Stegostoma tigrinum: one gene and its partner. The protein of the gene in region 1 binds, or shares a complex with, the protein of each later gene. Links are inferred from orthologs where the notes say so. Each region holds a gene or a part of one and is shown in the gene's direction. Other genes may lie near its edges.

The links.
Region 2: the proteins of neurogenic locus notch homolog protein 1-like (region 1) and poglut1 are in contact, whole or in part, in a crystal structure (PDB 5UB5), measured with the Homo sapiens proteins. The link is inferred for Stegostoma tigrinum from reciprocal best matches to the Homo sapiens genes NOTCH1 and POGLUT1. Residues at the interface, in NP_060087.3 of Homo sapiens: Asn454, Glu455, Cys456, Val457, Asn459, Pro460, Cys461, Gln462, Asn463, Asp464, Ala465, Cys467, Gly472, Glu473, Phe474, Val485, His486; in NP_689518.1 of Homo sapiens: Met103, Phe104, Pro105, Ser106, Arg107, Asp133, Gly170, Pro171, Ala172, Val173, Trp174, Pro178, Thr179, Gly180, Thr214, Asn239, Gln240, Ala241, Val274.

The regions. Positions count from the first base shown.
Region 1 is NC_081382.1:43,059,274-43,066,410, reverse strand, and holds the start of neurogenic locus notch homolog protein 1-like, read left to right. Parts: upstream 1-4,010; 5' UTR 4,011-4,275; coding exon 4,276-4,324; intron 4,325-7,137. UniProt on the Homo sapiens protein: Functions as a receptor for membrane-bound ligands Jagged-1 (JAG1), Jagged-2 (JAG2) and Delta-1 (DLL1) to regulate cell-fate determination.
Region 2 is NC_081372.1:5,662,497-5,670,081, reverse strand, and holds the start of poglut1 (protein O-glucosyltransferase 1), read left to right. Parts: upstream 1-4,417; 5' UTR 4,418-4,430; coding exon 4,431-4,530; intron 4,531-7,585. Other genes in the region: timmdc1 (complex I assembly factor TIMMDC1, mitochondrial), read left to right, coding at 105-215, 650-788. UniProt on the Homo sapiens protein: Dual specificity glycosyltransferase that catalyzes the transfer of glucose and xylose from UDP-glucose and UDP-xylose, respectively, to a serine residue found in the consensus sequence of C-X-S-X-P-C.

The DNA.
Region 1 (7,137 bases):
ACATCCCCCCACACACACACACACATCCCCCCCCCACACACACACACATCACCCCCCCACACACACACATCACCCCCCACACACACACACATCCACCCCCACACACATCACCCCCCCACACACACACATCACCCCCCCCCACAAACACACACATCACCCCCCCCACACACACACATCACCCCCCCCACACACACACCACCCCCCCACACACACACCACCCCCCCACACACACCACCCCCCCCACACACAGATCCCCCCCCACACATAGATCCCCCCCACACACACACAGAGATCCCCCCCGACACACACACACACACACATCCCCCCCACACACACCCACACCCCCCCCCACACACACCCCCCACCCCCCCACACACACCCCCACCCCCCCCACACACACCCCCCCACACACACACATCCCACCTCACACACACACACGCACACATCCCCCCCCCCACACACACACACCCCCTCACACACACACACCACCTCACACACACACACCCCCCTCACACACACACACCCCCCTCACACACACATCACCCCCCACACACACACATCACCCCCCACACACACATCACCCCCCACACACACTCACCCCCCACACACACACATCCCCCCCCCACACACACACACACACCCACACAAACATCCCCCTCCCACACACACACACACATCCCCCTCCCACACACACACACACACACACACACACATCCCCCCCCCACACACACACACACACACACATCCCCCCACACACACACATCCCCCCCCCCACACACACACACACACCCCACACACACACACAGATCCCCCCCCACACACACACATCCCCCCCCACACACACACATCCCCCCCACACACACACACATCCCCCCCACACACACACACACATCCCCCCACACACACACGTCCCCCCCACACACACACGTCCCCCCCCCACACACACGTCCCCCCCCACACACACACGTCCCCCCCCACACACACGTCCCCCCCCCACACACATGCATCCCCCCCACACATGCATCCCCCCCCACACCACACACACACACACACGTCCCCCCCCCCACACACACACACACACATCCCCCCACACACACACACCCACACACACATCCCCCCACACACACACATCCCCCCTCCCACACACACACCCACACACACATCCCCCCACACACATCCCCCCTCCCACACACACACCCCCCCTCCCACACACACACCCACACATCCCCCCTCCCACACACACACCCACACACCCCCCCTCCCACACACACACCCACACACACACACACACACATCCCCCCTCCCACACACACACATCCCCCCACACACACACACACACCCCCCACACACACACACACACATCCCCCCCACACATCCCCCCCACACACACACATCCCCCCCCCACACACACACATCCCCCCACACACACACATCCCCCCCCACACACACACATTCCCCCCCCCCACACACACACATTCCCCCCCCCACACACACACATTCCCCCCCCCACACATATACACACACACAGATCCCCCTCACACACACACATCCCCCCCCCACACACACCCCCCCCACACACACACACGTCCCCCCCCACACATGCATCCCCCCCCCCACACACCCCCCCCCACACACACACACGTCCCCCCCCACACATGCACCCCCCCCCCACACACACACACGTCCCCCCCCCACACACACACACACGTCCCCCCCCACACACACACACATCCCCCCTCCCACACACACACCCACACACATCCCCCCTCTCACACACACACCCACACACACATCCCCCCACACACACACACACCCCCCACACACACACCCACACATCCCCCCCACACACACACCCACACATCCCCCCCCACACACACACATCCCCCCCCCACACACACACATCCCCCCCCCACACACACATACACACACAGATCCCCCCCACACACACACATCCCCCCCCACACACACACATCCCCCCCCACACACACACACATCCCCCCCCACACACACACACATCCCCCCCCACACAAACACACATCCCCCCCACACAAACACACACCCCCACACACACACACCCCCACACACACACCCCCCCAACACACACACCCCCCCAACACACACACACACATCAGCCCCCACACACACACACACATCACCCCCCCACACACAGCCCCCCACACACACACACACCCCCACACTCATCACCCCCCCCACACTCATCTCCCCCAACACACCCCACACACACATCCCCCCCCACACACACACACATCCCCCCCACACACACACACACACATCCCCCCCCACACACACACACATCCCCCCCCACACACACACACCCCCCCACACACACACACACATCCCCCCCACACACCCCCCCACACACACATCCCCCCATCCCCCCCCCACACACACACATCCCCCCCCCCACACACACACACCCCCACACACACACCCCCATCCCCCCACACACACACACCCCCATCCCCCCACACACATCCCCCCACACACACACATCCCCCCCACACACACACACACATCCCCCCACACACACACATCCCCCCACACACACACACACCCCCCAACACACACACACACATCAGCCCCCACACACACACATCACCCCCCCACACACAGCCCCCCACACACACACACACCCCCACACTCATCACCCCCCCACACTCATCTCCCCCCAACACACCCCACACACACATCCCCCCCCACACACACACACATCCCCCCCCCACACACACACACACACACATCCCCCCCCACACACACACACATCCCCCCCACACACCCCCCCACACACACATCCCCCCCACACACCCCCCCACACACACATCCCCCCCCACACACCCCCCCACACACCCCCACACACACACACCCCCATCCCCCCCCCACACACACACACCCCCATCCCCCCCACACACACACCCCCACACACACACACCCCCCATCCCCCCACACACACACACCCCCACACACACACACACACATCCCCCCACACACACACATCCCCCCCCACACACACACACACACACATCCCCCCACACACACACATCCCCCCCCACACACACACACACACACATCCCCCCACACACACACACACACACACATCCCCCCACACACACACACACCCCCCACACTCATCACCCCCCACACTCATCACCCCCCACACTCATCACCCCCCCACACACCCCACACATCACCCCCCCCACACACACACACACATCAACCCCCACACACACACACCCATCACCCCCCCACACACACACCCATCACCCCCCCACACACACACCACCCCCCCACACACAGATCCCCCCCCACACTCACAGATCCCCCCCCACACTCACAGATCCCCCCCACTCACCCCCTCCCACACACACACACATCCCCCCCCACACACACACATCCCCCCACACACACACACCCATCACCCCCCCCCACACACACACCCCCCACACACACACACACACCCATCACCCCCCCACACACACACACACCCATCACCCCCCCACACACACCCCCCCCCACACACACACACACCCCCCACACACACCCCCCCACACACACACCCCCCCCACACACACACACACCCATCACCCCCCCACACACACACACACCCATCACCCCCCCACACACACACCACCCCCCCACACACAGATCCCCCCCCACACTCACAGATCCCCCCCACACACACACATCCCCCCCCCACACACACACATCCCCCCCCCACACACACACACACATCACCCCCCCACACACACACATCACCCCCCCACACACACACATCACCCCCCCACACACACACACACACACCCCACACACACACACACACACACCCCCCCCACACACACACACACACACACACCTCACCAGGCTCACAGCCCCCTCCCCCGGCGTCAGGGATTCTCTGTTTGATACAAACTTGGAGTTCCCGCCCACCTCCGGGTTGTTGTGGGAGAGGGACTCCTTGAGAAGTTGCTGCCTCTCTCGAAGCCTCAGTCCGGGGCGGGACCGCTTTCAGGAGAGCAGCTCCGAGTGGAGTGCAGTGTCACGTCCCGACCCAGCTCTCGGGCCACGAACTAGAGCAGATCCCGAGCCGCTTGCTGTCTGTCCGTGACTTTCCCAACTCTCAGCCCCGCTCTCCGCTCGCTCCGGGATTTACAGCGGCAGCTGGTTACTCTCTAACCTGCTGGATTTATGATCTGTCTGCAAGGAATATCTCGTGGATTGAAGGAAAGAGAGAGATCTCCCTGATCTTGGACTGGAGGAATGTTTGGACTGAGTTTGTGTCTCATTTCACTGCCAGCCTTTCTCTCAGGTAGGAGTCCTGGGGGAGGGGATGGTGGGGGCAATGAACACAGGACACACTCATTCGGACTCGGGAGGAAGTTTCTTTTATTGGGACTTGGGAGAGTCTCTGGTTTCCGTTGCTAGGAGCTGGAGTTTTAAAACTTTCCAGCGCCCACCGTTCAAGTTTCGGCTCAGAGGGTCCTGTCCCCCTCTCTCCTTGCAATCGCCCTCTCTCCCTCCTCTCCCCATCCCTTCCCCATCCCTTCCCCATCCCTCTCCTCCCCCCTCCCCACCTTTTCCACTCCTCTACCCCATCTCCCTCTGCCACTGCTCAGGGACCACGGGCAAACTGCTGTCCTCCCAACCGCCCTTCAGCTCCCCTCTCGGTGGAAGTAGCAGCTCACCATCTCTGCTCCGTGTGAGAGGATGTTGCTGACGCACTGAACCCTGTGGTCTGACTGCACACAGGGGACCGAGAGGGAAGGAGAGAGAGTCAGAAGGAGAGGCAGAGAATGACACTGAGGGAGAGTCTTGAGTACACAGACTGAGACAGAGAGACTGATGGGGAGCCAGAGATACAGTCTGAGAGGGATGGAAATAGACTGGCCAAAGGAGACATTAAAGGAGAGATTGAGAAAGACTGAGAGAGAAATGGAGGGAGAGTGTGGGGGGAAAAGAGAGAGACCGAGGGAGAGAGAAAGAAAAATATTCAGGAGAGACCATAATGGAGAAATCTGGGGCTTTTCCTGCTGAATTTTGCTTCTCTGATTTTGCTAGCTCACAATTATGACACCAGGAATTATCAAACTACTTCAACATTGTTTGGCAAAATATTCAACCCCAGATCGTAGAACCTAACTCTTCATCCTGGGACATGAACCACACAATTCCCAGTCTGTAGACCATGACACTGGTCCCGAGAATGGAGAGCACACCACAGTGTCCAGTCTAGAACATGGATCCTCCCCTGACTGTTAGACTCTAGAACATTGCCAATCCTCAGTCTCTAAAATGTGATCCAGTCTTCTGTGACCAAGAACATGAGCCTGACCCATCCCCCCAGTCTTTAGAACACAGCTACTCAACTCCAGAACACAACAAGCCCAAGAATCTGGAACATGATTCAAATTCCTGCTATCCAGATTCTAGACCATGACCCTGACCACCCCTTCATGTGAGCCTTGTTCACCAAACTCTGGAACATAAACAACCCCCAAGCTGGCTGATTCTAGAACAAATGAATGATCTCCAGATGATAGACTTTCTAACTGGAATCCATTCCCCAGGACATGACACCCTAAAATAAAGAGCTTTGGCATTGAAGATCTGAAACAAATAAAAACAGGAATCGCTAGAGAAACCCGGCAGCTCTGGCAGCAATGTGGAGAGAGAAACAGAATTAACTTGCCGAGTTCTGAAGAAAGGTCACTGGACTTGAAGTGTTAACACTGTTTCCTGTTGTTGCCAGGCCTATTGAGTTTTCCCAGCAATTCCTGTTTTTGTTTATTTCTGCATCATTCCTCCCCATTCCTCAGACCCTAGATCTAACTCTCCTTCATTTCAATACACTCCGACAGAAAAGGATATCAGTTTAATTGGGACAAAGTTACATTACTAGGGCAAGCATGAAGGTTCCAACCATTGGTGAGATAAACAAACATGCTGAAAAAGACCCCAACTACATACCACCCCAGTAAAAAAACCACACACAAGACTACCCACCATGACAGACCAGGCCATATTAATTAACAGCAGGACAATGGAGGCTAGACAGCACTGAAGATATCACCTAGTGGTAGATAAAATGTTTGCTCAGCTAACCAACCAATAACTCCAACCCCAACCCAAGCTACAGATCTTCATTAAAAAATTACTCAGACCCAAGAACGTAATCCCAATGCTGCAGACTCTGTAAATCACAATACCCCATTTCTCAGGCTCTGGAACTCAAATCCCAATCTCCAGACTTTGGTACATGACCCCTATTCCACAAATTCTAGAACTCAAATCTCACTGCAAGACCCCCTCCCCCACCTAAGCTCTAGAACTCATATCTCACACATAGCCCAATACCCAAGGTCTAGACTCAAAATCCCATCTTCCAGACTCTGGAACACGACCCAATTCTCCAGGCCATTGAACTCAAACCTTGTCCCCCCAGATTCTGGAACCCAACTCCAGCCCTCATGTTCTGGAGCTCAAATTCCACCTCCACCCCCATTCTCCAGACTCTGGACCATGATCGCCATTCCCCAGGCTGTAGAACTTGAATACCTATTTTCCAGCTTCTAAAACTCACTCCATCCTCATTCTCTAGATTCTACAATACCCCTGGATTTTTAGATGGCTGACATTGCATCATCCATATCTTCATCAAATTGAACCTGGGCAAAACTGTGTTGCCTGTGCTGTAAACCACACTGAGTCCCATTAACCATGAACTCCCATGTTTGCTGACCTTCACTAAACCTCCAAGACCAGCAGCACCTTCTTATAAAATTCTCCTCTTTGTTTCAAATCCCTCCCTGGCCTTCACGCCCCCTCTCTAGTTCTGTCATTTACAGACCCACACCTTCCATTAAACAGGCTACATAAATGTAACTTGGTTTTAAGATTGAGCTGGGGCATGTGGATGGGAAGGATGTCTTAGTCCTCCCAGAAAGATGTGTGCTGCTCCAGTTGCTCTGTGTTTTGTTTTAAACTTCATTTACTCCGCTGTTAACAAATGCACAGTAGTTGACAATATTCTGACCAAATGTTATGTGTCTCTGTGTCTGTGTGTATGAGTGCCTGTCTGTGTGTGTGTGTGAGTGCCTGCCTGTGTCTGTGTGTATGAGTGCC
Region 2 (7,585 bases), on another chromosome or scaffold:
CTCTTACAAGAAAGTTTGTCTAAATTGAAGTTAATTATTGGAATGCGACTGTGAATAACTTGTACTGACAACTAGATAAGAATTTCACTATTTTTGTCTTTCAGGGTTCCAGCTGGGGCATTGATCCTAGCAATGCAGAAAGTTAGTGGAGAGACCCTCAGAGAACGTAAACGTAGAGAACGGCGAGAGATTTATGAACTTAAGTTGGAAGAATGGTATGACGTGGTAATTCTATGATCATAGATAAATTGCTGAAATTAGAATAGCAGAGGAGAAATGTTTGAAAAGTGTTTTACAAGAATAATGTATTTTTTAAAAATATTCTCTTCCTCTTCCTATAAATGTTAATATTTTGGTCATTGATCTTTTGAACAGAAACGCTCCACCTGAAACATAATAATTCTCCTTTCTGTTCAAACACTAAGCAGACTGGTATGCATTTCCTGTAATTTCAATAGTCATCACCCACTGAAATCATAAATTTAAGTGACAGAGTTAATGTGCAGGTTTCTAATTGGCACTTAGTTAAAATGAGCTAGAGTGGACACAATGGGTTAAATGGCTCCTTTTGCACTATAACAATTGTTTATCAGCAGTTTCTTAATGCCACTATGTTTGTTTTTATTACATTCATGTATCATTTCCCCAGGGAAGCCAGACTGCATGTGACAGAAGGTTTAATTGATGAAATTGCCAGAAAAGATTCAGTGGAAAATGATTTGGAGAAATTGGAAGAGCTGTTGAATCAGCCCAGAAATCCAGAGTCTTCAGTTAAAGAGAAAATCTGACTGAACAGGGAAATTGAGAAGAAATTTATATGAATGATACCAACTGTCGTAGACATCTTGAGAAAATATTGTCTGAGCTAGCTAATGAAAATTACGTTCTTGATGTTACTAAAGAACAGTCCATCAAAGTAAATTCCTGGATTGAATTGATAAGCACTGGGATACTTGGAATTTGCTGTCTTGTATAATTATGAACATATGTGACTACTTGTATATTGAAGATGTCCAATGGATTTGTGTTTGTTATATTCTCTCTCACTGCAACATTTTGAAGGCTTAGAAAAGTACTGTCTTTGAAAATGATAAATCAGTTGATCAAAGTTGCACCTTCGATGTTGGAATTGTTGTAATGTGCTCTTGCTGAATTGAAGAACAGAGTAAAATCATAACAAACCTCATTCTTATCTGATTGCTCAGCAAATTAACTTGGCTGCGAGTTCCCTATCCCAAGAAATTAGCTAACCATTTCTCATGGCCACGCAGAATGACCAAGATTAGAATCCTGTTGCATGGTCATTCCTGGACAAGTTCATTAAAGACTTGATACCACCCAGCACTTGTCTTGTATATCAATGACTGGAGTTTAGTTTTTGGTTTTGATATATTTTTAATATAGGTTAAAATCTTGACATTACTTCCTGTCAATGACTGACTGAAGAAAAGTTTGTACCGCACATTAAAACAGTCTGTTGAAAAAGTGAGCAGTGCGAATGAAGCACACGTGAATTTGAGAACATGAGTTTTGTATTGAAAACACATTCTGATCTTCCAAAATGTTGTCATTGTGCTAGGAAAGAGTTAATCTGAACTAATATGCAAAACCAAGTAAATGAAAGACAAATTCTGATCACTGCTGACTGATTTGTAGTTGCAATAAAGTCTCTTAAATTTGTGCTATATTGCAGCAGAGTTCTGCAATGTAGCAGATTTAGGAATGATTTTAATTATTAAACCATCTTTATTTTTGAGAGTTGGAATGGTTACACAAAGTGGAGTTATTTTGACTGAGTGACCACAAATCTTTCACAAAATACTACTTGGGAAAAAGTAGAGCTGAAGATTACACTCAATAATTTAGAAAAGAGCTAGTTCTACAATGCTGAAACCAATGAAGACAACATGTATGTATACTTGAGGCGGTTCAGTACAGAAAGAATGACTTGCATTTGAACTGTCAACACTTGAGTATGGGTTGTTGAATTTGAGATTCATAGTCTCCAGCTGGGGAGACAGAATAGATACTTGTAGTATGAATGAACTGAGGAGACTGGGAGGGTTGAAAGAAAGATGATGGGCGGGAGAAAAGGAGCTGGATTGTGTGGTCAGAAAGCAGGCACTCGGGATGGGAGTTTGGAGATCACCAGGATTGAAATCTGCTAACTCTTGAAAGGAGTCTAAAGATCATTCGGAAACAGTTAAGAAGTTTATTAAAGAAGATAGATATAAGATCAATGATAATGGGAACTGCAGATGCTGGAGAATCCAAGATAACAAAAGTGTGGAGCTGGATGAACACAGCAGGCCAAGCAGCATCTTTGTGCTCCTGAGATGCTGCTTGGCCTGCTGTGTTCATCCAGCTCCACACAGATATAAGATCAAGTCTGCTTGATCATGGCCAGTATGTTTTTTTTCAACCCCATTCTCCTGCCTTCTCCCGATAGTGCTTGATCCACTTATTTATCAAGAACCTATACCTCTCTTAAATACTCAATGATTTGGCTTCCACAGCCCTCTGTGGCAATGAGTTCCACGGATTTACCACCCTCTGGCTGAAGGAATTCCTCATCTCAGTTCTGAAGGGTTGTCATTTCAGCCTGAGGCTGCGTCCTCAGGTTCTAATCTCTCCTACTAGTGAAAATGTTGTCTTCAGGTACACCTGATCTAGGCCTCTCAGTATTCTGTAAGTTTCAATGAGATCTCCCCCTCATCCCTGTAAACTCCATAGAGGACAAACCCAGAGTCCTCAACCATTCCTCATGTTGATGAGCTCAAGTTTGGAGTTCTACACTGCTGTCCTTACAGTTCACAATTTTTTCAAGTTTTGTGTCTCTGCAAACTTTGAAATTGTCCCCTACACTTCAAGATCTAACACATGACAGAATTTTTTTTAATAATTATCTGACACGTATGGGAACAGGAGTACACTGATTGATTAAATATTCCAGATAGTCGAAAGGTCACAAATCAATGTAAAAACACACACACTAGGTAATGGAAATGTGATGCAAGGGGATACATGTCACTGTTATACTTTATTTACTACACAAATCAGTTAAATAATAATGCAACAAAAACAAAGTTGCAGGAAAAGCTCAGCAGGTGTGGCAGCATCTGTGAAGGAGAAAACAGAGTTAATATTTCTGGTCCGGTGACCCTTCCTCAGAATTAATAGCAGCTGGGAAAACATCAGTTTATATGCAGAAAATAGTAAGGTGGGAAGTAAACGATAGGATAGAGCCCGAAGAGAGAGAGAAAGATAGTTGGAAAGGTAGAGATGATAACGATCAGGCTGGGAGGGTGATTAGTTGTTAATGGGGACCATTAGTGACTAACAACAAGGGGTGTGTATAGTAGGCTATGTGGTTACAAAGCCTGGTGTGTGTGGGGCTGGGGCAGGGGAAAGTTTAGGCCCTAAAATTATTGAACTCAGTATTGAATCCGGTGGGCTGTAGGGTCCCCAGAAATGAAGTGTTGTTCCTCCAGCTTGCGTTGAACTTCACTGCAACACTGTAGCAAGTCAGAGACAGAGATGTTGGCCAGGGAACAGGGTGGTGCATTGAAGTGGCAGGCAAAACGGGTAGTTCAGTGTCTTTTTTGCGAGTAGAACGTGGATGTTCTGCAAAGTAGTTGCCAAGTCTACGCTTCGTTTCTCCAATGTCGAGGAGACTACATTGTGAATAGTGAATGCAGTAGACTAGATTCTGGAAAGTGCAAGTGAAGTGTTGCTTCACCTGGAAGGTCAGGCAACGGCAAGTTATGCCTGTCTCTTCATGGGGTATGTGGAATGTTCCTTGTTCCGGTCCTGTTCCGGCCCCCACCCACGACTCTTTCTCCGAGACATTGAAGATAATGTCAATGCTGCCTGTTTCCTTCCCCAAAGGACGTTAGTGAGCCAGGTGGGTTTTCTGACAATCGGCAATAGGTTCATGGTCCTCATTTGATTCTTAATTCCAGATGTTTTATTGGATTCAAATTCCACCATCTGCTGTGGAGGGATTTGTACACGGACCTCCGGAATGTTATGAGTCTATGGATTACAGCCCAGTGATAATACCACTAGGCCATTGCCTCCCCTGTTATTTGAGCTGTGTAATTTTTGCCTGTTTTATCAAGCGTGATGGCTAAAGCAAAATTTTATGATCAGGAAAAACCAGAATCTCACACCAACTTCTGCCCTGAAAAAAATACATCGACGATTAATCCCTGTTTCCTATCACTGAGCCATTGTATATCCATATTGTCATTGAGTTGTACTGTTTCCCTCTCCACAGATGCTGCTGTGTTTCTCCAGCAATTTTTGTGTGTTTTTAATGACAAAACAATTAGAACCTGCAATACCCAGGTCTCTGGTTGCAGTCAGTGAGTAGGCCTCAGCGCGGTCTCCATGGTAACGAGCGTGTCAGCGCGCAGGCGCAGTAGGCCATGGCGCGGAAATGGCGGCCGTTGTCGTTGATATTGACGGCGGCAGCGCTGGCTTTGGGCAGCCCGAGGGTGGGGGCCGTCGGCCGCAGCTCCCCAGCAGGTAAAAGGGGGGAGTCTCTTGGAACCGAGCCGCCCAGTCAGTCGGGGGCTCGCACAATCGGGGATCTCTGTTCCTCAGACATGGGCCGTTTGAGACAAAGAAAATCAGGCAAAGCGTGGGATGAGGGGGGGAATGATGATGATGGGGGGGGGGGAATGATGATGATGGGGGGGGGGGGAATGATGATGATGGGGGGGGGGGAATGATGATGATGGGGGGGGGGAATGATGATGATGGGGGGGAATGATGATGATGGGGGGGGAATGATGATGATGGGGGGGGGAGGATGATGATGGGGTGGGGGGAGGATGATGATGGGGGGGGAGGATGATGATGGGGGGGATGATGATGATGGGGGGGGGGAGGATGATGATGGGGGGGGAGGATGATGATGGGGGGGGGAGGATGATGATGGGGGGGGATGATGATGATGGGGGGGGGATGATGATGATGGGGGGGGGAGGATGATGATGGGGGGGGGAGGATGATGATGATGGGGGGGGAGGATGATGATGGGGGGGGAGGATGATGATGGGGGGGGGAGGATGATGATGGGGGGGAATGATGATGGGGGGAACGATGATGGGGGGGGAATGATGAGGGGGGGAAATGATGGGCGGGGAAATGATGGGGTGGGATTGGGGGGGAATGTTCGGTGGGGGGAATGATGGGGTGGGAATGATCGGGTGGGATTTGCGGGGGGAATGATGGGGTGGGAATGATCGGGTGGGATTTGCGGGGGGGAATGATGGGGTGGGATTGGGGGTGGGAATGATCGGGTGGGATTTGCGGGGGGGAATGATGGGGTGGGGTTGGAGGAGGGAATGATGGAGAGGGATTGGGGTGGGAATGTTGGGGGGGGGAATGATGGGGTGGGATTGCGGGGGGGAATGTTGCAGTGGGGAATGATGGGGTGGGATTGGGGGGGAAGATGGGGTGGGATTGGGGGGGGAATGATGGGGGGAGAATGTTGGGGGGGAATGATGGGGTGGGATTGGGGGGGAATGATGGGGTGGGATTGGGGGGGGAACTGATGGGGCGGGAAATGTTGGGGGGGGAAATGTTGGGGGGGGAATGATGGGGCGGGATTGGGGGGGGAATGATGGGGCGGGATTGGGGGGGGAATGATGGGGTGGGATTGCGGGGGGGAATGATGGGGTGGGATTGGGGGGGAATGATAGGGTGGGATTGGGGTGGAATGATGGGGGGGAAATGTTGGGGGGGGAATGATGGGGTGGGATTGGGGGTGGGAATGATGGGGTGGGATTGGGGGTGGGAATGATGGGGTGGGATTGGGGGTGGGAATGATGGGGTGGGATTGTGGGGGGGAATGATGGGGTGGGATTGGGGGGGGTATGATGGGGTGGGATTGGGGGGGGGAATGATGGGGTGGGATTGGGGGGGGAATGATGGGGTGGGATTGGGGGGGGAATGATGGGGTGGGATTGGGGGGGGGAATGATGGGGTGGGATTGGGGGGGGAATGATGGGGTGGGATTGGGGGGGGAATGATGGGGTGGGATTGGGGGGGGGAATGATGGGGTGGGATTGGGGTGGGGAATGATGGGGTGGGATTGGGGGGGGAATGATGGAGAGGGATTGGGGTGGGAATGTTGGGCGGGGGGAATGTTGGGGGGGGAATGATGGGGTGGGATTGGGGGGGGAATGTTGCGGTGGGGAATGATGGGGTGAGATGGGGGGGAATGATGGGGTGGGATTGGGGGGGTGAATGTTGGGGGGGGAATGATGGGGGACAATGTTGGGGGGGGAATGTTGGGGGGCGAATGATGGGGTGGGATGGGGGGGGAATGATGGGGTGGGATGGTGGGGGAATGATGGGGTGGGATGGGGGCGGGAATGATGGGGTGGGATTGGGGGTGGAATGATGGGGGGGGAAATGTTGGGGGGTGAATGATGGGGTGGGTTGGGGGGGAATGATGGGGGTGGGATTGGGGGGGGTGAATGATGGGGTGGGATTGGGGGGGTGAATGATGGGGGGGAATGTTGGGTGGGGAATGATGGGGTGGGATTGGGGGGGGAATGATGGGGTGGGATTGGGGGGGGAATGTTGGGGGGGGAAATGATGGGGTGGGATAGGGGGGGGAATGATGGGGGGGATTGTGGGGGGGAATGATGGGGTGGGATTCGGGGGGGGAATGATGGGGTGGGATTCGGGGGGGGAATGATGGGGTGCGTTGGGGGGGGAATGATGGGGTGGGATTGGGGGGGGGAATGATGGGGTGGGATTGGGGGGGGAATGATGGAGAGGGATTGGGGGGGGAATGATGGGGTGGGATTGGGGGGGGGAATGTTGCGGGGGGGAATGATGGGGTGGGATGATGGGGTGGGATGGGGGCGGGAATGATGGGGTGGGATTGGGGGTGGAATGATGGGGGGGAAATGTTGGGGGGTGAATGATGGGGTGGGTTGGGGGGGAATGATGGGGGTGGGATTGGGGGGGTGAATGATGGGGTGGGATTGGGGGGGGGAATGTTGGGTGGGGAATGATGGGGTGGGATTGGGGGGGAATGATGGGGTGGGATTGGGGGGGGAATGATGGGGTGGGATTGGGGGGGGAATGATGGGGTGGGATTGGGGGGGGAATGTTGGGTGGGGAATGATGGGGTGGGATGGGGGGGGAATGTTGGGGGGGGGAAATGATGGGGTGGGATGGGGGGGGAATGATGGGGGGGATTGTGGGGGGGAATGATGGGGTGGGATTCGGGGGGGGAATGATGGGGTGGGATTCGGCGGGGGAATGATGGGGTGGGATTCGGGGGGGGAATGATGGGGTGCGTTGGGGGGGGAATGATGGGGTGGGATTGGGGGGGGGAATGATGGGGTGGGATTGGGGGGGGAATGATGGGGTGGGATTGGGGGGGGAATGATGGGGTGGGATTGGGGGGGGAATGATGGAGAGGGATTGGGGTGGGAATGTTGGGGGGGGAATGATGGGGTGGGATTGGGGGGGGAATGTTGCGGGGGGGAATGATGGGGTGGGATGGGGGGGAATGATGGGGTGGGATTGGGGGGGGAATGATGGGGTGGGATTGGGG